Linked DNA regions of Struthio camelus. The protein of the gene in region 1 binds, or shares a complex with, the protein of each later gene. Links are inferred from orthologs where the notes say so. Each region holds a gene or a part of one and is shown in the gene's direction. Other genes may lie near its edges.

Region 1 (10,717 bases):
CTCCAGAGAATAATTTCATTCCATTGGGACTCCAAGCTAAAGCTGTAATGCTACTTTTGTGGATACCAGCAACATCAAATCTCCGAAGCTGTGAAACAATACCAAAGCAATTCAAGAGCGAAGGGGAGATTCAGTGACTCAGAATGATAAATTAGCAATCAAGTACAAAAATGAAGTATATTTAAAAAAAAAAAATACTAAATACTCTGCCAGTTATTACAAATTTACAATTTAGTAATTTCTCAGAAGCATTTTTGATTAAATTCATCTTTTGTAATGAAAAACATGCTTTAAGATTAATGCTTTCATAAGCCTAATATACAAAGTCTAAAACGTATTTACAGATACTTCATCAGGAGAAATTCTCTGGTTTTCACTATTATGAAGAACCACCTAATAATCTAGTAGGATTCACCCTACCCAGCCTCACAGATGTTTAACCAAATGTGCAGATTTACCTGTTTGTTTCTTCCAGGCAATGAAGACACAAGCTGAAAAACTGCAACTCGACCTGAGGCTGTACCAACAGCAACAAGATCATCAAAACAACTCAGTAGCTTTACAAAAGTAATAGATTCACACTTCCCCTGTTGGAACAAATGACATACAAAACTTGCTGAGTTATGAGACAGAAAACAGTTGCAAATAGGCATTCAATTCTGAGTGACTGAGCACTGTTAAAAAATTTCATTAGAAGTTAATATTTACCTCAAAATTATATTTTTTCATCTGGTTTAAATGTCTGCAGTAGAGATAAAGCATTCCAATGCTGCTCCCCACTGCAATGTAGTCCCCATTGGTATCAAGTGCTGTGAGGTACACCACTATAGATCGGAAGCCTTTTTGGACCTTTGTAGGAATGGCATTGAGAAGATAATATAAGGGACAAAACTCCTTAAATACAACTGGTGAAGCCACCGATGCCATAGCAAGCACTGGCATCAACACTTTTAAGGCTGAAATAAACACATCTACTTCACCACATAAGGAAATCTGAAAGACAAAACCAAAAGTTCATTAACTTCTTTGAAGAGAGCAAATGGTTAACAGAATAGCTACCGTTTAGCAAGTAAGTATGCAGAAATTGTCATTTTTTGTTCATTACGAAGAAAAAACAACTTAAACTCTTCTAGAGAACGTAAGTTGTCCTGCAAATAAGAGCAAGATTATTTCTTAGGTTCAGCCACATTTAAAAGCAGATGGTAATCACTAAACATGGGATAAGATTTTTTTTCTTGCAGTTGGGAGCTTTTCTAAGTTGAGTTCAAACACATTATTTTTTTCTCATTTAGCTCTTGAAGGAACTGTACGGCCACTCCTGGCACTAAACAATCTGCACAGTCCATTTCTGCATCTGTCTGCAAACTCTAGCCTCAGTCCTTCCAGTGCTGAATCTTCAGTTTACATCAAGAGCAGTACAAGCATGGGATATTCACTGTTTCAGACGGCACAATAAGATCAAAGCATCAAATTAGTATATACGCTCAAATCCTTAACTCTCACTCTGCCCCAAGGAAAATGTGACTAGAAAACAGTACAGTTAGACCTCTACTAGGTAATCAGATAGTAAAAATAGCATGAGAAGAAGGGGATACATAAAAATGAGAGAATTCCCAGTGACAGACACACAAAGATATCCATATAGCAATTTAATACTAAAGATAGCAGGCAAACAGTAAAAGAAACAGATGTTTAAAAAAAAAAAAAAAGCAGCACTGAATGCCTGTGTTTCCTGTCATGGTCAAGTGAATAACTTCATGTTGATGAGTGACACTGTATGCACACATATGGGTAAATTTTGGTATCTTCCTAAGAAAAAGGGAAACGGGTTGTATTTGCCCTCTTCTAGAAAAAAAAATAGCTGGAGTTCATTGTAGTAATAATCTACTGAGAGTTTCAGAAAAACATGATATGATCATGAAGCATATAAAATTTTAAAAATATTAATTAAAAATTACTTTTCTCATCAGAGAGTGACAACCTTGACAGCAATATTTTGCAGCAGTATCTATTCTCCTCATGGATGACTTTAGATCATAGAAAAGAAAAGAAACCTCCCCTTCCTGAATTTTAACAGAACGGTTTAGCATCTCCCAGAAACAGCTGCAGTTTTCTGAAACAAGGATTCTGGACTTCTGAAAGGAATAAAGTTTTCTATGCTTGTTCAGGTGTGTAACAGTGAAGGTTTTGTTAAGCTTCAGCCAGAGTTATAACTTACTTAGAGAAAGAAAAACCAGAAATATACCAAATTTAGTTGGGAACACTTTTAAACATTCAAAATTATTTTGTAAAGTATTCCTACTGTAATTTGTGTGATATGCCCTATCGTGCCTACTTAGCATTTCTCCAAGAATGGAAAACAGTACCGGTTTGGCAGCTTCATAAATCGCTTATGGTGGTATCGCAACTAAATTTATATATATATATATATATATATTTGTATATATGCACACACAGACATACATATGCACACACAAGTTTAATATCTCCATTACTGTGAAAGGCTCCGGTGCTTCAATTTTAAAATTGCTGTTTCACTCATTGTACAAGAGGATTCAGCACACTGGCTTTGGGCCCTGCAACACTTGCTGTCAACATACAATTCCAATAAATCCAAAGGGATTACTTGCATGATACTACCCATTCAAGCCCATGTTAGACAAGACAGCTAAAATACGGATTCATATTTTAGCTGTGTTAAAAAAACAGCCAGTGAAGAAGTTGATAGCAGTTACTAAATGATCTTAATTGTTGTGATAAATTTTACTGCTTGCTAGAGCTTAGACAGATGAATACTACTCTCCTCCAGTGTTTATCAGCTGTCAGGGCACCTATTTCATAGAAATGCTATTAGGGTTAGCTGATTAATGTGCCCCTTGAACGAGGCTCACTAATCGTTCATCATCATCATCATCATCATGATTCATTCGTTCTTTGAACAACGAGTTCCTAAAAGAGTTGTTTACTGAGTCACTAAATAATCTAAGTACTTTACCTTTCCTTTACAACATTTGCACACACTATCTCTTCCCTATCCTGCATTTTAGGACTCCTGTCCTCTCCTTTAGCATTTATCACCTTCTATCTGCAATCAATTAAATTTTAAAATAAACAAACAAACTAACAACAAAAACAAATGACTGCTGAAGTCTCTTGTTTGCTGTTCTAAACATGCTGCTTTGCCAGTTCAATAATTTTACTGGCTGCTGATCTTCTCTTACTCAAATACGCTCTTTGTCCTAAGTCTCATGCATACAAGTCTTCCTCTGTCTAGGTCTCAACTGCTAGCACTCCCCAGCTACTGCCTCATGAATTTCACGTATTTTAACTCTCCTTTGTCACTCCTACAATTCACATCTATCACCATCCCAAGCTGCTCTCATAGTTGGCATCATCTCACATTTCCCAGTTGTCAAAGATCTTGCAGTCCTCAAAATCCATTCTCAGTCTTAGCTTCCACCTCTCCTCACAGCTCAACTACAACTATTGAAAGCATAATGATTCATTATAAACTATGGAATTATGAAAAACTATTACCAGAAAAAGACTACTCTTCTTTCCTGTACAACAACTAGATCCACAACCTGACGCATTTTTTTTAAGTCTACACTTAATTAACATCAAAATTTTCCTGATGACCTTGGGTTTTTTTCCATAGATAACACTAGAGGAATTATTGCTCATCATAGAATAAATTAAAAAACAACTGCTGTCAGATTAGGGTCCTCCTAATTTATATACAACCCTATTTAGATCTTCTCTGGTGGCAAAGTTTTAGAAAAAAAGATTAATTTCAATTTTTATAATCCATTCAACCTGTACAATCAAAAATGCATTCATAAACTAAAATTTCTTGTTGCCACACAAATCAGTTTCATTTTGGGTTTTTCATTTGCGCTTTTCGTGTGAAAACATGTAACTGAAAGCTCAAATCATCACTTACTCAAAGTATTGCTAATGAAGTCATTTTATCTGAGCAAAATAAATGTATAAAGGACTAAAGAATTACAGCATGGCCTTTATTTTCAGAGAGTCTGTACACACACAATGATTCTCTGCTGCTTTTGAGTCCTGATTCTTCAACATCTCCCTAATCACATTTGTATATGGTATGTGGTCTCTTTTTCTTCTTTAATGGTTTCAGGATTATTTTATCTGTTTTTCCAACCTCATTAATCAAAGGCAAACGGTGGATATAATCTATCTTCTCAGACAGATTTTGGAACTGGACCTGCACTTTCACTGGCTCAGCAGTGGTTATTCTGAAGGACGTAGAAGCCATACAGGGCAAATCAGATTGTGCTAATCAGCTCTCCTGCACTGGAAATCAAGTAGAGCAAAATATCTTATGCTACATGGAAAAAAAAAAAAAAAAAATCACTGTCCTTTTCAACCCACATGGATCACAATGAGCTTTTAGGTAAGCAAAAAATCTTTTTCTTTTCTCTGGTTTCAGAAACAGCAATAGGGCTTAAGTGTGGCTACCAAAGACAACTAATATGAAAGATAATCTTGTGGTTAAACAAGTACTTAGTGGATAAAGATTCAGTTTCAGGGCATGCCCACAGATTTACTTATATAAGGCTGAAGTTGTCATTGCATTTCTTTGAGCCCAGGCCTCCTCTCTGTACAAGAGGAACAACAGTTCTGTTTTTTTACTCCTTTGACACACCAAATTAATTTTAAGCGCTTCAGAGTACAGACAAACTCATATGCATAACCTCCGTTTAACACAACGGTCTCTCATCTCAGCCGGAGCCTGTAAACTAAGAAATAAGCAGTTATATTTTCTGATACATCCCATGTTTTTAGCCACCAGACTGCCACATCTGTTAGCAGTGTTTTAGGCACAGGGGCACAATTTTAGGCCTCTTGCCTGCTTTTGACCAGATCTGAAGGAACAGCAAGACAGCTGAGACATTTCTCCAAAGTTTTTCATGTAAAACAACAGCCAAGTAGAGGGGAGAACAAAAATTAGCACCTTACTGAAACAAAGGCAGGCAAAACTCTGCTTTTACACACCTTGTTCGGGAACAGGTGGACAACCAGTTAGCACACAGGTAGAGACTACTCAATTAACACACACATCGCTCGAGACTAGTCATAAAACGTTTTATTTCTGGCTCAAGGGAGTTTCTAGAAAGAACTCTCAGATTAGGGGCTGAAAGAGAGAATCTGGTGTCACTGCACAGGCAACTCTGTAAAGGAAGAGGAACATGGGAACACAGGAAACTAGGCTTTGCTGGCTCTGTTGATTTCAGAGTACCTAGTTCCTCTACAAAAACCTTCACCCCTAAGAGGCATTTCTTTATTCTGGCAGAGGCTTCAAAGGGTTCATCTCAACAGCGCTGCACTCCAGCACTCCGCGGGTTGTAACTACTCAAAGGCAAACAGGAATACACCAGGGGACCGCAGGACAGGCAGCCTACCACGCTTGCTCTCCTGGAAGCGCCTTGGGCTTCGCTTCAGCACACGGCTCACGGGGGAGGCGATCCCCCAGCCCTCAGACAGGTTCACATCCAGCGCGCTGCCGGCGGCCAGCGGCCAAGCAGATTTCTCCTAGGGCAGTCCCCAAAAAGCAAAGGTTTTCCATTACTCGGAGGCTGAAAACTAAGATTTTTAGCCTTACTCTTCTCTTCACGTTCGGTCATCTTAAACCAGCACCCGGGCACTACCGGTTTTTAACGTGCCAGCCCTTTGATACAACCCACGTCACAGAAAACGTGGAGTTTCACCTCAGAAATAAGCGACTAAACCCACGGAGTCCCCAGCGCGGGCGAGCCCGTTAACCGCGGCCGCTCCGGCGCCTCTCGCCCCCTTCCCCCCCCCCCCCCCCCCAACACTCGTGCCCCGCAACGGCCGCGGCCGCCGTGTGAAACGGGCCAGGCGGGCTCCGAAACCCCCCGCCGCCGCTCGCCCTCACCCGCGACGGGGCTCCCGCACAGCGGCTGCTCGGCTTTCCCCTCCCCAAAGCCCGCGAAGGGCGGCGGGGACCCAGCTGCCCGCGGCCGGCCCGGCGGAGGCGCCCCGCGGACGGCCGGCCGGCCGCAACAGGCAGAGCCGCCTCGCCGCGGCCCCGGCAGGCCCGCTGGGGAGCGGGAGGACGCGGAGCTGGGTCCGCGGGGAGCGGCGCGGCTCCGCTCACCTCGTCAGAGGCTCGGCGCGGCCATGACTGCGGGGAAGGAGCGAGCGCGGCGTCGCCCAAGCCCTGCGGCGGCGGCGGCCCCGGCTGCCTGCGCCGCTCGGCGGGGCCGCGCCGGGGCGGGGCCGGACGTGAGCGCACGCGGGGCGGGGCGGGGCGGGGCGGGCGGCGCCGCCATGGCGGGTGAGTGCGGCCGCGCCGGGCCCGGCGCCGCTCAGCCCTGCGCCATCCCCTGGCCCTCGGCCTGCCGGCGCTCCGCGGCCGGGGCGGCGTGGTCGGAGCTGGCTGCCCCCCGCCGAGCCCCTGGGGGGGTCGGGGTGAGGCTGCGGCCCCCCTTGGGGGGCGAGGGGAGGCGGCGGCGGGCCCCCGGCGTCTCCTGAACCGGCGACAAAATGTCCGCTGAGGGAGGACGGGCCCGGGCGGGCCGCTGGCCCGGTGCTCAGAGGGGAAAACGGGATCGCTGCAGTGATTTCTCACCGCCCCACGCGGTGTCAGCCTTTGGCTTAAAAGCCAGACGTGAACTTAACGCTGCCTAGTGGACAAAAGACCGTTAGATCGATGAGCGCTGCAAAGCCACTTGCTGTCCATGTTACGATATCACAACTCAAGACTGTGCTTAGTTCTATAACAGTTTGATTTTTCTGGTAAATAGTAACAAGGTGATGAGATGAGGCGTTTGATTTCATGATTAGAATAGTTGAATTCACGTGAGTTCCATTTTACTTCAACCAATATTCAACAGTAGAGCAAGGAAAAAATTCAGGGACATACCTCTGCCCAGCAGCCCACTGATTTATCACTGTATGGTTTAAACGGCTTGAATTTTGTTTGTTGTCTTATGCAGCAAAGAGTCCTGCTGATAGTACTCCAAGAAGACCTGTCTTATCTGTCAGTGCAAGAAAGATTAAAGATAATGCAGCAGACTGGCATAATCTAATGATGAAATGGGAGAGACTGAATGATAATGGATTTACTACAGCAAACAAAATTGTCAACATGAAAATCAGTGAGCAGTAAGTATGCCAATGATACGTACAGGTAAAGGTAGTGTAGAGGTTGCCTTTATTGTGAAATTAATGTTTCCTTCACTAGAAAGCTTGGAGATGGAGAAAGAACATGTCAACGCAGATAAGCTAGCTCTTAGGTCAAACTGAGCAGTTGCACTTTTCAGTTACATACAATATTTACATTCAGATAAGATTTAAATGTCTCATAAAGATTAAAATAATCTCATGAAGTAATGGTGTTTGCAAGAAACAAAAAATGTTTAATATATGTACAGTTAGGTATAATGGATATGTAAAATACTTAAATAACATACAAAGTTAGAATCTAATCCTATGATCTTTACACATGTGATTTCCCTCTCTCCTGTGTATTTACTCTGAAGTCAGTATTACCAGTTTTTACAAAGGTCAAGAGTTCAGCAGATTTCAAGTAAGAATCAATGATTTTGTATAGACAAAAAGTTGTTAGAGCAGTGAAGATTTAACAAAAGCAATAATTTTGGTAGAGATAGTATCTTCAAGATCTAAAGGAAAACCTAACTGACAGGGTTCTGACGGACATCTGTAATATTTTGTTGTAAAGACGTCAGATCTTGCTTTCCCTTCCTGCTCACGTCCTCTGTCAAAGTTTACAGCTTCTATGGGAAAGTCAGCAAGATGGGCTACGAGACATGCCTGCGCATTACCTGCGCTCAGTTCGCGGTTAAGTATCTTAGCTTAAACTATCAACAAAGGGGAGTTTGTGGCGAGGCAGCAGACTGTCGGCTGGACCAGCTGAGGCCAGGGCATACATTACACCCTGTTATTATGAGAGAGTAGCCGCCAGAAGAGAGGCAAGGTAGAGTATCGCAGGCAGTGTTATCTTAACAGCTGCAACTGTTTCCTTTGAGCGTGAGTTCTGAGGTAGAGTAATTCAGCGTTCCTCTGAAGGTTATGGTACCAGCTCAATTGCTCACTCAATTGCTAGATAGGTCGCTTACCTCCTTTCATGTAGGAATTCTCATGTGCAGCTTGTAAGAAAGAGATTTTGTTGGTTCAGACAACATGGATTTTAAACCTCTGTGGCTTGAGTAAACGTATATGCAGTGGTTGGAACTGCCTTATGCTTCTATTTTAGGTTTCAAGATAATAAATCAGAGATAGCATGTGATAACAGCACCACAGAGTCTGAAAAGGCGTCTCCAAAATACAATGAAGAGCTGGATAGCTGCTGTGCAGAATTGCTTGAGACCTTAAAGCATATGGTAATACTCATTTTGCAATTGCGATCTATTTTTTCCAAGTATGACTTAAGCAAATGACCTCAAGTATTGTAAACAGAAAATTGGGATTCTTAACCATAGTTTTTTTGGCTTCCGACCTGAATGATTGTAAGTCTAGTGTGCTCCGTGTATTTGTTTGGTAAATTTGAAAGTTGGTTTTACATCTGTCTTCTGATTAGAATTTATTCCTCCTTTTATAATGTACTCTCTAATATGATCTTCTGAAATAGAGTCCTGCAAAAATCCGTTCTAAAATTGCACCTGTTGTCTGTTTTCTCATCCTGGATATTCCCTCTATTTAAAACAAGACAAACAAGTTAAAGCCCAGAACGATGTTTTATCTGCTGTAATATCTATTGCAGCTATCTTTGATCAGACATCATGCAGTTCCATTTTTAGTCTGCCTAGTTGCATTTTCTGTGCGGTAGCTTCCCCTTCTTTTAAGGCACAGAGTAAGACAGTTATTATGCAGCCCATCTTCCTTCTGGATACATTGTTAGGAATTAATGTCACCTGCCGGATTGATATAAACAAAGAAATTTTTTTGCTGGTTATTGTAATTAAAAATTTTAGTTAAAAATAACTTTTGCAGCCATTAGCCATAGTGGAGGCTTGTTAAAAAGATTATTGGTGTAAAGTTCCAGTGAGCATTTTTACAGACTCATAGAATGGTTGAGGTTGGAACCTCTGAACATCATCTAGTCCAACCCCCCTGCTCAAGCAGGGTTACCTGGAGCACATTACCCAGGAACGTGTCCAGCTGGCTTCTGAATATCTCCAGGGAAGGAGATCCCACAATCCCTCTGGGCAACCTGTTCCAGGGCTCAGTCGCCCTCACAGGAAAGAAGTTTTTCTTCATGTTCGGATGGAACTTTCTGTTTTTCTTTTTGTGCCCTTTGCCTCTCGTCCTGTCACTGGGCACCAGTGAGAAGAGTCTGGCCCCATCCTCTTGACACCTTCCCTTCAGATACTTGTACACGTTGATCAGATCCCCCCTGAGCCTTCTCTTCTCCAGGCTGAACAGGCCCAGCTCCCTCAGCCTTTCCTCATAGCAGAGATGCTCCAGTCCCCTCATCCTCTTTGTAGCCCTCCGCTGGACTCTCTCTCCAGGAGTGCCATGTCTCTCTTGGACTGGGGAGCCCAGAACTGGACACAGTACTCCAGGGGAGGCCTCACCAGGGCTAAGAGGAGGAGGATCACCTTCCTCGACTTGCTGGCAACACTCTGCCTAATGCACCCCAGGAGACCATTGGCCTTCTTGGCCACAAGGGCACACTGCTGCCTCATGCTTCACTTGCTGTCCACCAGCACTCCCAGGTCCTTCTCTGCAGAGCTGCCTTCCAGCAGGTCAACCCCCAGCCTGTCCTGGTGCATGGGATTATTCCTCCCCAGGGGCAGGACCCTGCACTTGCCTTGGTTGAACTTCATGAGGTTCCTCTCTGCCCAGCTCCCCAGCCTGTCCAGGTCCCTCTGAATGGCAGCACAGCCTTCTGGTGTGCCAGCCACTCCTCCCAGTTCAGTATCATCAGCAAACTTGCTGAGGGTGCGCTCTGTCCCTTCCTCCAGGTCATTGATGAATATGTTGAACACGACTGGACCCGGTATTGACCCCTGGGGACACCGCTAGCTACAGGCCTCCAACTAGACTCTGCGCCACTGACCACAACCCTCGGAGCTCGGCCATCTAGCCAGTTTTTATACGGAAAAGATACTAGTTTGATATTTAGAATAAGCAGGAAAGTGGCTATATTTTCCTCAAGTTTTATTCTGTGGGAAAAGGTACCAGCAATTTGAGGGTTTTCTTTTTTCTCTTGAGACATTGTTATATTCAGCCTTGCAAGTGTATTGATACAATTTTTTCTTACTTTTGGGTAATAGGAGTATAAGCAGCTGGTGTTAGCTTGGATATTAAACACAGCAACTACAGATGTATTTTCTTTTTCATTTCTTATGAGCATATACCAGTTTAATGATTTATACAAACATCTGTATTTTAGCTTTTTGACATAAAGATACGATCTTCAAGCTCCATTTTATTTTTCCAAATATTAGGCCCCTTAGGTGAAACACAAAGTCAGGTGAAGAGAAAGGAAGTGGACAGGATGACCTCCTTTTCATAGCAAGCCGCTAAATCAGCCTAGATATATTGTCACTCATAGCCTGAGCGGCTTTCCACACCTGCAGCTGATCTTTTGAAATGAAACTTAAGTCATATTGGCATGGCAACATTAAGAAGCATGTGCTTACAGAGCTTGTGCCACACCTGTTCTTTCATAGACAGTTTGATGTTTTTCCCCAGTACTAAA
Region 2 (10,726 bases), on another chromosome or scaffold:
AAATTCCTAGGAAACAGTGGGAATTCCTAGAAAGCACTGGGAAAATTCCTAGAAAGCACTCAGAAGATCCCTAGAAAGCACCAACAAAATTCTGCATAAATCTGAAAATTCCTAGAAAGCACTGAAAAAATTCCTAGGAAACGTGGGGAAGTTCTAATTAGTAGATGCTACAAGCCTCTGTGAATCAAAGAACAACTGAGCTAATTTGTGGCCAGTTAAACAAATACTCCTACCTGGGATTTTCTAAGAGGCAAAATTCAACTACAAAATAGCTATCTGTCATTTTGCTTGCCTGAAACTAATTATTTTGTTAGAATTCATTGCGTAATTTAAAGAACAAATGTGGTACTTTAATAATGTGCCTTTAAAAAGAAAAAACTGAGAACAATGGTCAGAAAGGGACAGCCTGAATATGTATGCGTGACACTTCCTCTCTCGTATACTCCCAGCTTCCAACCATTTCAGCTTGCAGAATTTCTTGAGCGCAGTGAGAGCTTAGCTTTTTTAGTAATCCTCCATAAGCTCTCCTCTCATGCAGATCTTCTCAACCCTCTCACGAAGCGAGTTCTCTTCTAAGTACCTGTCCAGTCTCCCCTAGCATCTACATACAATTTTGCATATACAACATCCTCAAGTGAAGTTTCACAGGTCTACCACCCACTGTGTGAAGAATCACCTTTTTCTTTGCTTTGAATACAGGTCTGAACAGCTTCAGTTGCTCTGGCATTGGAGGAGACACTTAAAACAGGCATTTCTTATCCACTGTCTCTACACAAGTCACAGTCTTGAGATCTTTCCCATATTCACCTCAAAGTTTTCTATTTTCCATGCTGTAGAGCCACAGCCTACTTTCAGTCATTCCTTGCACTGAAGCCATTCAATATCTTTGACCATTCTTGTTGCCTTCTCTGAGACTCTCCCACTTCAAATAAAGATTTTGGAGGTAAGGAGATCAGAAACATATATAATATTTAATGTGCAAGTGAACCACAAATTTACACAGTGGCACAGAGATGTTTTCTGTTCTGTTCTCTGTTCCTTTTTTAGTAATTCCTAACATCTGATTTGCTTTTTTGACCATACCAAGCACTGAGTTGACATTTTCATGGATCTATCTCAATGCTATAAAGGTGATCAGAAGATGGCTCTTCTTTACTGTGTAAAGATGCAAGACTGGACACCCACCAGAAAATGAAGTAAACACACTGAGGGTGGTCTCTCATAGAGACATACAGATATTTAAGACCTCTTTCCCCTCCTTCTTTAAGCATGTCTTTACAATTTACCTACGAAGAAGCTTCAATTCAACTCAGCTGGGTGTTTGAAATGTGAAATATCCAGCATAAGTGGAATTAACAGTTTTAGATAACTCTCCAGTAAACACCAAAACCCTGCCCTAAAGCATACACGTGTCATCTATCCTTGCTAAAGCCTCGGTTAATTTGACAGCACTTTAATTTAAAAAATCAGTTCTGATGAATACTAGATATAGTCAAACTTATCAAATAACAATCAAAGAATCACAGAATGGTTGAGGTTGGAAGGGACCTCCGAAGATCATCTAGTCCAATTCCCCTGCTCAAGCAGGGTCACCTAGAGCACTTTGCACAGGATTGTATCTGGACAGCTTTTGAATATCCCCAGGGAAGGAGACTCCACCACCTCTCTGGTCCAGTGCTCAGTCACCCTCACAGGAAACTTTGTCCTCATGTTCAGATGGAAGTTCCTGTGGTTCAGTTTCTGCCCGTTGCTTCTTGTCCTATCGCTGGGCACCACGGAGAAGGGTCTGGTCCCATCCTCTTGACACCCCCCCCTTCAGATACTTATACACGTTGATCAGATCCCCTCTCAGTCTTCTCTTCTCCAGGCTGAACAGGCCCAGCTCTCTTAGCCTTTCCTCATAGGAGAGATGCTCCAGTCCCTTAATCATTTTAGTAGCCGTTCGTTGGACTCGCTCCAGGAGCTCCATGTCTCTCTTGCGCTGGGGAGCTCAGAACTGGACACAGTACTCCAGGTGTGGCCTCACCAAGGCTGAGTAGAGGGGCAGGATCACCTCCCTCGACCTGCTGGCAACACTCTGCCTAATGCACCCCAGGATACCATTGGCCTTCTTGGCCATAAATAAGCTATAAAGCTTATAAAATAATCAGCTACTTATCTTGTTTACTTTGGATGGAGAGAATTATCATAAGAAGACATGGTTATTTTAATTTGTGAATTATAACAAATTCAGAATGATGAACAATATTTTATTCTACCTAAAATCAACAGCTACATCCAAATGAAAAATAGCAATGCTATTCCTCCTCTTTGGAATTTTCTTATAGAATTGTATGTTCTCCTTAAAAAGAAGTAAACCTGGCCTACCAAGTATGAAAGCAAAGAATAAAGGAATATTCTTCTCCAGCAATATACAGCAACAAACCCAACACAAAAGAACAGAAATGGTAATGAAGCTGAAAATGATCTGAACACTCACTGTGTTGGTTGTTCAGTTTGATTTTAGAAACCATCTCTCAAAAAGGAGTGAAGACAATGCTGTATTATATTTGATTTCTCCAAGAACTGATGACTACTCCCCTGAAATTGATAGATCTGCAAGGAGAAATACAGCCATTCTTGAAGATCAGCTGCCATCTACTGAATGATAAGAAAACTGTTTAGAACATTTCTCTCTTTTGACAGTTTAAACTAGATTCTTGGCTGAATATCTTTTTGTCAGTTCATCACTATTAATTTGGGGGTCCGTAAATGTTTCAGGGGCGACTATTAGAAGATATTAATTCTAAAGCAGAGCATTCAGTAATCTGCTTTCCAGAAAAATATAAAAATAAGGTCTTGATCCTACAGGTTGCTCCACACAGGCAATCCTGCTCACTTCCAGGAAGTTCTAATAATGACTTTCGGGCTCTACCTCATTATACTAAAACCAATGGAAATATCAGTGTCTCAAAGTAAAATATTCAGTACCATGACCATATATTCTAGTTAAAAATGACAGCGTTGAAGTTAAAACTCACTGCCTGAGACACGCACATCAAGCAACAATATCATCGTTTTTATGCTGCACATCAAATACGTTATTGGTATACATTTTTTTAAACATAGTAACATTAACTAACAGATTACTAAAATAAAACTAGAAATACTAACAGCGTGCATTAGCAGAGTCAAATTAAATATTTCTTGTGGAAAACTAGCATGTTTCATAAATTGGAACTTAATGGGAACACCTTGTGTTGTCGTGAAACAGGAAGAATTCAGAGATTATTACTGGTAGCTACCTGCTGAGTAGGCTAGTGGTTTTGTACTGCTTTTCTCCTCAGCCATCATCAATAATTTCACAATCAATGTAAGCTGACACAAGGTGGAGCTGTGACCAAAAGAGGTCACAGCCTTACCTCCTCTTCCAGCTCGCTATTTCAAGCCATTCTTTGCACTGCCGTAAGTATTCGCATGGCTGTGCAATGCATGAGATCAAGATTTGGTACAGCCAGTAACTAATTCACCAAAACAAATTAGTTCTATACCAAACAAGCTCATCTTCTTTGCGATATTCAGGCTTTTCTTAATAAAAGGCAGGACAGGGATTAGACATTGAGACCTATAAAGGGTGGAATCCCCTCTGACAGTTTATGCAAATCATGGAACTATGATTACAGAAGGCAGGAAGGATTAGAGACTGTTGCTCAGCTACTTTCTAGTTGTATTTGTACAATTCTGTCCAGAAGTAGACCAGCTTGCCCCTGTTAATAGCTGAAAAAATAATAAAGTTGGACCATCCCCCTGCTGAAACACTCACCTGCAAACAAGCATTAGGGTCATAGAAGTTCAATAGAACTTACCTTCAGATGTGAACATTTTAGAAACATATTTTCTTATAAAACAGTGGGCCATAATAGCTAATGTTATTAATAGATAATATCAGATTTCCATTACAGGTATGTATGTAAAGAAAAAAGAAAAAAGAAAAAAGACAAATGTAGAACCTCAAGTTTGCAAATTCCCAGTAGTCTTAACTTAATGATCTTTTTAATTGTAATTCAAAGTTGTTTAAAGTTCAGGGAGGCAGAGGTAACTCAGACAGAATTCTTAAAAGAAAATGATGCAAAACTAGAAAAAATTTCTCTCTGTTCCATTCCACTACTCCCTTACTTCTTGCTCTCAGACTCTTCTGTTGCACAGCTGGCCTGAACTTTGCCAGTCCTCATTCCCTCACAAAATTCTGTCTGAATGTCTATACCAAGCCTTTGCTCCACTAGCCACCTAAGACATTTCTAAGTACTACATCCAAGCCTTTCAGATGCCACCTACCTTTTTTTTTCTTTTTTACGTAGGCATACATATAGTATCACAAAAATTATTTTCCTTCGCTTATTTTTCTGGAGTCTGAGAACTTTTTCAGGTGCTACAATTATACATAGTGACAGTAAACCACATTCTGTAGGACATTTGTTGCTTAATTCAAATCTAAAACTTCAAAGAGATTTTGGAAAAAAGGTGGGCTACCCATACAGACGTCATTCTAAGATCAGAACCTAAATATAAACAAACTGTTACAACACAATATCAAATCAAACGGCAAGATCAACGGAAATACAACTTGAAAACATCAGAATCTATTTGCTAGATAATTCAGCCACAACAACAACAGTCTTCTGTGAAGAGGAGAAGATGAGATATGTTCTGATTACTTGATTTGTACATGTAATTTTCAACAATAGCCCAAAATTGTTTCCCACTTTTCCTATATGTAAAAATATGGGTATTTTCCACTGTTATACCCTTCCATAAGATATACTGAAAGAAAAGGTACTATGAATTAGATATTATTGTTTTATCAGGTTGGGGGGATATTTTCTTATCACTTAAACATTTTGTGTTTCTCGGTACTGAGGAGACAAATTTTAAATGGAAAAAAATGGATTCATGCAAAGCATCCCATCCATCATTAAAAAAAATCAGTAAGAGGACCTAAACTTGCTCTCACTAAAGCCAATGGCAGGTAATGTTAACAACTCTAATTGTTATTTGGAATTCTTTGTCACTCAAGACTAGGTTTTGCAGATGTTTCTCTCTTGTCAGAAAACAGATTTTCCAGATGTTACAAGAAAGCACAACTATATACGAATATAGACCACAGAGCCCAGTTTCAGATAGGCCCTTTTCTTTATTTTTTTTCCTAAGCACAACCTTTTAACACCAAGCAGAGAATCTACCTCTTACACTTTAGAATTCTCTGAAACAGTCTGCCATTTTAAATAGAATACGTTGTTTTCTTTAACTGAGTACGCACTCAAGAGCACTTATGCTTAAGTATGAGAATCTTTGAGGGAAAAGAAAAAAAACAAGAGAATATGTTTAAAAGACATATGCTTGAAAATACATTCTCCCTCTTGGAATGAAAGGTCCTTACAGTCTTCTGCCTTTACATTCAGCGCTCTGTCCCATCCTAAATACCGAATATGTATGTATATTCCACATGAATGTTTGCATACAACGCGCAGCAGTAAAATATGCTGTGAAAAATCATTAAGTTGACATCCAGGAAAAAAGGAACTGAAAATAAACACTGAAAGGAGAGAACTTGTTCGGGAACTGAAAAGAAACAGAACATAGGCCCTTTTGCATGTATTAAGACAAAAAAAGAAGGCTTACTGTTTTTCACACTGCTCACTTCTGATGTCCTAAACGAGCTCTTTTCACATTGCATATTCCGTTTGTACGGCTTACTAAAATACTTTGGCTACAGCCCTCGGTCCAGTAAGGAAAGTGATAAAGCGGGATATCATGAAAAAAATTTCCTATGCTTCCCCTCCAGAGGTCTTCATAATACATACTGGACTGCTTTTACTTAGGCTGTAAACCATGACCGCCACATTCTGTCTGTGTTTGTAATTGATTCTGACTGGTGTCTTATATTTGAGATCCCAATTTCGGGAAGTATCTGGTCTCATATGAAGTTTGTATGTATGAAGTACATGTGTAAGTGCAATCACAGTGAAGCTCCTTACAAGAATAAAATTATGCACACATTAAAATTTCGAAGATCATGACTTTATCTTGTATTCTACAATGCTGAGAGATTGCCTGAAAGGTAATTATAGAAGTACTGCATAATTTACTGCATAATTTAAGAAGGCTGTAGGCCAAAGAGTTATAAATTAACTTTTCCTAAACACTGATTAAGGATTTGTCGGAGCAGCACACTAATACAGATTTATCCATTGCTGAATAAATTTCTGTGTCCTGATTACTTGTATGAGCAGCTCCTCAAGATAACTGTGTGGCTCCCCAACTCCTTTTCTTAACGGGCAGCTACAGCTGCCCCAACCCCAACCGCTCATGAGCAAGGTGCTAGCGAGTCAAGGGACACACTGACAGGAGACACGGGAAGGAGGATGCTCAACTCTGGGGAGCACGTTTAAGAAGCACTACCTCGATGAGGGGGCCGAGCTGAGAAGAGACGAACGGAAGCAAGCACGCGAGCCTGGTGAAGACCGGCTCTGTGGAGAACAAGCGGGTGACAACGAGAGGAAGATCACTCCATTTCGTGGAGTGGGAGGAAGGTATAAAAAGCGGGCAGGTGGCCTTAAAGCTAGGCCGCCTGTCACTATGATGGATTCACCTCACGGCCGCAGCCGTTGGACACCTCTACGGAGGTGAAAGGCGTCAGCAGCCGCTGAGGCGACGGCGCGCGGCCCCCCCCGCCAGTGCGCGCGCCGGCGCCGGCGCCGGCTGGGCGGGGCGACCTGGGTCAGTGCGCGTGCTCTAGCGCAGCGCATGGGCAGCGCATGCGCAGGAGGCGCAGCGAGAGTGCTGGCGCGCGGCTGGCGGCCGTCCGCGCGTCGGGGCCGTTGCGGAGGAGGGAGGGAGGGAGCGGACGCTCTCTCGGCCCGGCCGGGCCGTTACGCGCGCGGAGCCGCGGCGGGCCCGGCTCTTGGCGGAGGGCGAGGCGGGGGGGGTGAGTAGTGAGCCGGACGGGGCCCTCTTAGGAGGGTTGCGTGCCCGTCCCCGCAGAGCGCGCCGCGGACGCCTGCTATGGAGGTCGCGCCCTTAAAGCTGCTCCCGCTGGATACGGGCGATGAGGGCACCCAGAGGTGCAGGGTAGGGCCTGCCGCCCTCTCCTTCCTGGGAGCCAGGATCGGGGCCCCGCTGCGGGTCACCCTGCCCACCGGTTGCTGCTTATGCACGGCTTGGCCCAGGCACGATTTGGCAGACGGTTACCTGCAGGTCGACCTGACGTGCAAAACGGCAGGCGTAACTGCAAAGGAGCTAAAAAATCTCACGCTGGACATCAGCCAGCTGAAGCTTTTGGCATATCATCACTTAAAAAAAGTGACTGTGAAAGTAGTCCTTAAGAACTCTGCGCTGAAAAAGTCTACCTCCAGAGGGGTGTTGCAGGAGATAATCAAAGAACTGCTAAGAAGTATTTATGTTTCGCTTCATTACACTGTTACAGTTGCTCCAGCTCTTGAAAATCCCGTGGTGTATATTGAAATACTTTCTGTAGACCCTTTGACAGATGAAGCTGGACTAGTAACCCCCCAAACAAGCATAAAAATTAAAGAGGTTGTTCCTTTAGAATGGTACAGGCATTTATCAGAAGACACTGCGACAATTTCAGTTGCAGGACTAGATGGTGTGGGAAGGTCTCTGAAAGAAATGGTTGACTTACCTTTCCGTTTTCCAAAAACTTTTAAGAAGCTGGGACTTTCTGTCCCTAATGGAGTGCTATTAGTAGGCCCTCCAGGTGTAGGGAAAACCCTTCTGGTAAAGGCAGTAGCAAAAGAAGTGGGTGCCTATCTGTTTTGCATCGGTGGCCCAGCCCTGTATGGTTCAAGACCAGGAGAAAGTGAAGAGAACTTGCGAAAAGTTTTTGAAAAGGGCAGAGAAATGTCCTGTGAAGGACCAACCATTCTCTTTATTGATGAAATTGACTCTTTATGCCCAAAGAGAGGAAGTTCAAACAATGCTCCTGAAGATCGTATTGTTGCTCAATTGCTAACATTATTGGATGGCACAGGTAGCAAGGATAAGATGGTTGTTATGGCAGCAACAAACAGGCCTGATGCCTTAGATCCTGCACTGAGAAGACCTGGCAGATTTGACAGAGAGGTGAGCAGACCTGTTTTTTTCACACCCTCCTTTGCACGGGGAGGGTGGTACAATCAAAATAATTATACTTTTGGAGGAAAAGGGCTACTTAAATGTTATTAATGCGTTCACAGTTAAAAGTATCATTTTAGAGGGTTTGTTAATTGTTGAAATGTATTCTATGGTGGCATTTTTCCAAGTTTTTTTTTCATGTATGAACATTTACCGAATTGTTTTTCTTTTGGATTCAAAGATCTGCTTCCTTATTCCAGTTATTGAAATACTTTATTTTGTGTGTTCATATCTTTGAGTTTATGGACTAAGAATTGTAGCAAGACAAGCACAAATTCACAGGATCATCCTTAAAGGTACTATTATTTCTGACTTCTGTTTTACCTAGTGCATTTTATTAAATGCATGTAATCATCATCTAATTCAGCTCTTATGATGCAAGGCAAGTATTATTTCAGTGCTAAGTCTTATTTTTAAGTTACCTTAAAACATGTCTTTACAGACTGGGGGCTGATGGTGTTATATTAACAGCTGTTTATACAAACACTGTCCACTTGGAAAATAAGTGTAAATGAAAGGTGTTTTAAATATTTGTCATTTGTATAGAGTTTTTTATGTCAGAGTGCTGGAGAACTGCTAATTAGTTTCTTGTAAAATTATTTAATCACAGTATAAGGAAGTATAAATCTTCAGTAAGCAGTATAGAGAGAAAGTTGCTTGCCTAGGTCTATAAAATGAGGAATATAGCAAAATGCCTACTTACTTTTTTTTTTATTATATTTGGTTTAGGTTATTATTGGGACACCAACACTTACACAGAGAGGATCCATCCTGCAGTTGCTTACATCTAGCATGCCAATTTCTGCAGATGTTGATTTGGTTAAACTGGCAGAAATGACAACTGGGTATGTTGGAGCTGACCTTACAGCGCTCTGCAGAGAAGCTGCTATGCAGGCAGTGTTACAGAGCTCTCAGGTAAGGCTGCAAATTAATCAAGAAGGATGTCATTATTAATATGTACCACCTTTTTCCCATTAATGCTCTGCTTTTACTTGAAATGCTCAGCAACTTGAAGAACTCAGAAATTAAAATACTGAAAATAAGCAAGTTATAAATGTAAATATACAGTTTTGCTAGTGACTTTCAGCTCACGCCTGAGGGGACTGTTCTGTCCTTTCTGAGTAAAAAGCTTTACAAAAGGTTTTAGTCTCTCCTCCTTTTTAGGAGTGTGCAAAGGAGATATTTTTTATTTGTTTTTTGAGGAAAACTAAACTGGAGTAGTCCACCAAAGCTCTCTTTTGAAAATATCAGCAATTTAGAATTCTGCTTCTGAACAATAACTGTGCAAATTACAGTTTAGAGTGTTATATATGTATACATGTGTACATATACATGTACATATTTATATATAAATAAAATAAATGTTTATAACTGCTAGTGATTATAACTTGTCTTTTGGATTGCATGGCTAGATATAACATGAAGTTACAGACACAAGGCATATAGTTATAACTGCCTTATGTCCAGTGGGAATTGCTGCTTCTTAATATTCTTTCCATCTTTATTGAGACTTTTACAAGAATTGTGAGGATTGTTTGCTGTGCTGCTTTGTCTGTGGAAGGTGACGTGGATGAGCAAAAATTTTAAAGCTGTATCTGCAAAATCTGTGGAGCCAGAGCATCTATAGGCGATGGCAGACTCCTCTGTCTTCACTCAGGGGTGGAAAGAAGGGAATGTTTTCTTTCTAGAACTTCTATCTCCTTCAGATACCATACAGATTAAAGGTAGCTAAAATAATTTGATCCTGGTATCCCAGAAAGAAGTAGACGGACAAACAGAAATAAGGAACAAGCGGATGGCCTATTTGACTGGTAAATAGCAAGGTCCTTTGTAAATACATCTTAAGTTTTGTCAGTGAATCTGTAGTTTTAGATAACTGCATCTTTATGCTGTTTGAAATGAGGTACAGTTTTCTCTAAAACACTAATTTCTTTTAATTTTTTTCACATTTAAAAAAAACCCTTGCCTTAAAGAGAATATGCTCTACTTTGTGTTATATGTTTGTGTTCAAGTGTACAGTACATAAGCTTATTAGGGCAGAAGCTTGATTCTTTATCAGTTGTATTTGGCCTTTTGTGGAGTATTTTTCATACTAATGGAACATGATACGTTTATTGATTATATAAAGTATTGCTTATTTGGTGTATGTGGGTTTTCTTCAGGATTCAGCTGAAATGGTGATTAACATGGCAGGCTTCCACGCAGCTTTTAAAAACATTCAGCCATCCTCTTTCCGAGGTGCTATTGGTCTAACAGAGTGTAAACCTGTTACCTGGGAGCAAATTGGTGGTCTTGAAGATGTGAAACTAAAATTAAAACAGGTAATGTATAAAACGTATTTAAATTAAAAGCTAGTTTCTAATAACCATCTTCTCCGGAGTATTCTGTATGCTCTCTATTATGGACATGCCTTTCCTTGCAAATTATATGTTTACAGATTGTATATTCTAAACTATTTTAGAATACATAAAGTGAATGACAAGCACTGTAATAAGAAGCCTATCAGTGGTCTTTGTCTTGTCACTATAAGTTTCATTAAGCTGGGTTTCACCTGCAA

Evidence for each region.
Region 2: CINP (region 1) and AFG2B share a complex: the UniProt entries of both Homo sapiens proteins name them as parts of the 55LCC heterohexameric ATPase complex. The link is inferred for Struthio camelus from reciprocal best matches to the Homo sapiens genes CINP and AFG2B.

Annotation. Positions count from the first base shown.
Region 1 is NC_090946.1:71,426,294-71,437,010, reverse strand, and holds the start of CINP (cyclin-dependent kinase 2-interacting protein), read left to right. Parts: upstream 1-6,279; 5' UTR 6,280-6,318; coding exon 6,319-6,325; exon of another isoform or gene 6,326-6,459; intron 6,460-6,986; coding exon 6,987-7,155; intron 7,156-8,266; coding exon 8,267-8,393; intron 8,394-10,717. Other genes in the region: TECPR2 (tectonin beta-propeller repeat-containing protein 2), read right to left, coding at 1-88, 459-587, 709-942. UniProt on the Homo sapiens protein: Component of the DNA replication complex, which interacts with two kinases, CDK2 and CDC7, thereby providing a functional and physical link between CDK2 and CDC7 during firing of the origins of replication.
Region 2 is NC_090953.1:12,703,771-12,714,496, reverse strand, and holds the start of AFG2B (ATPase family gene 2 protein homolog B), read left to right. Parts: upstream 1-6,768; 5' UTR 6,769-7,041; coding exon 7,042-8,118; intron 8,119-8,898; coding exon 8,899-9,084; intron 9,085-10,331; coding exon 10,332-10,490; intron 10,491-10,726. UniProt on the Homo sapiens protein: ATP-dependent chaperone part of the 55LCC heterohexameric ATPase complex which is chromatin-associated and promotes replisome proteostasis to maintain replication fork progression and genome stability.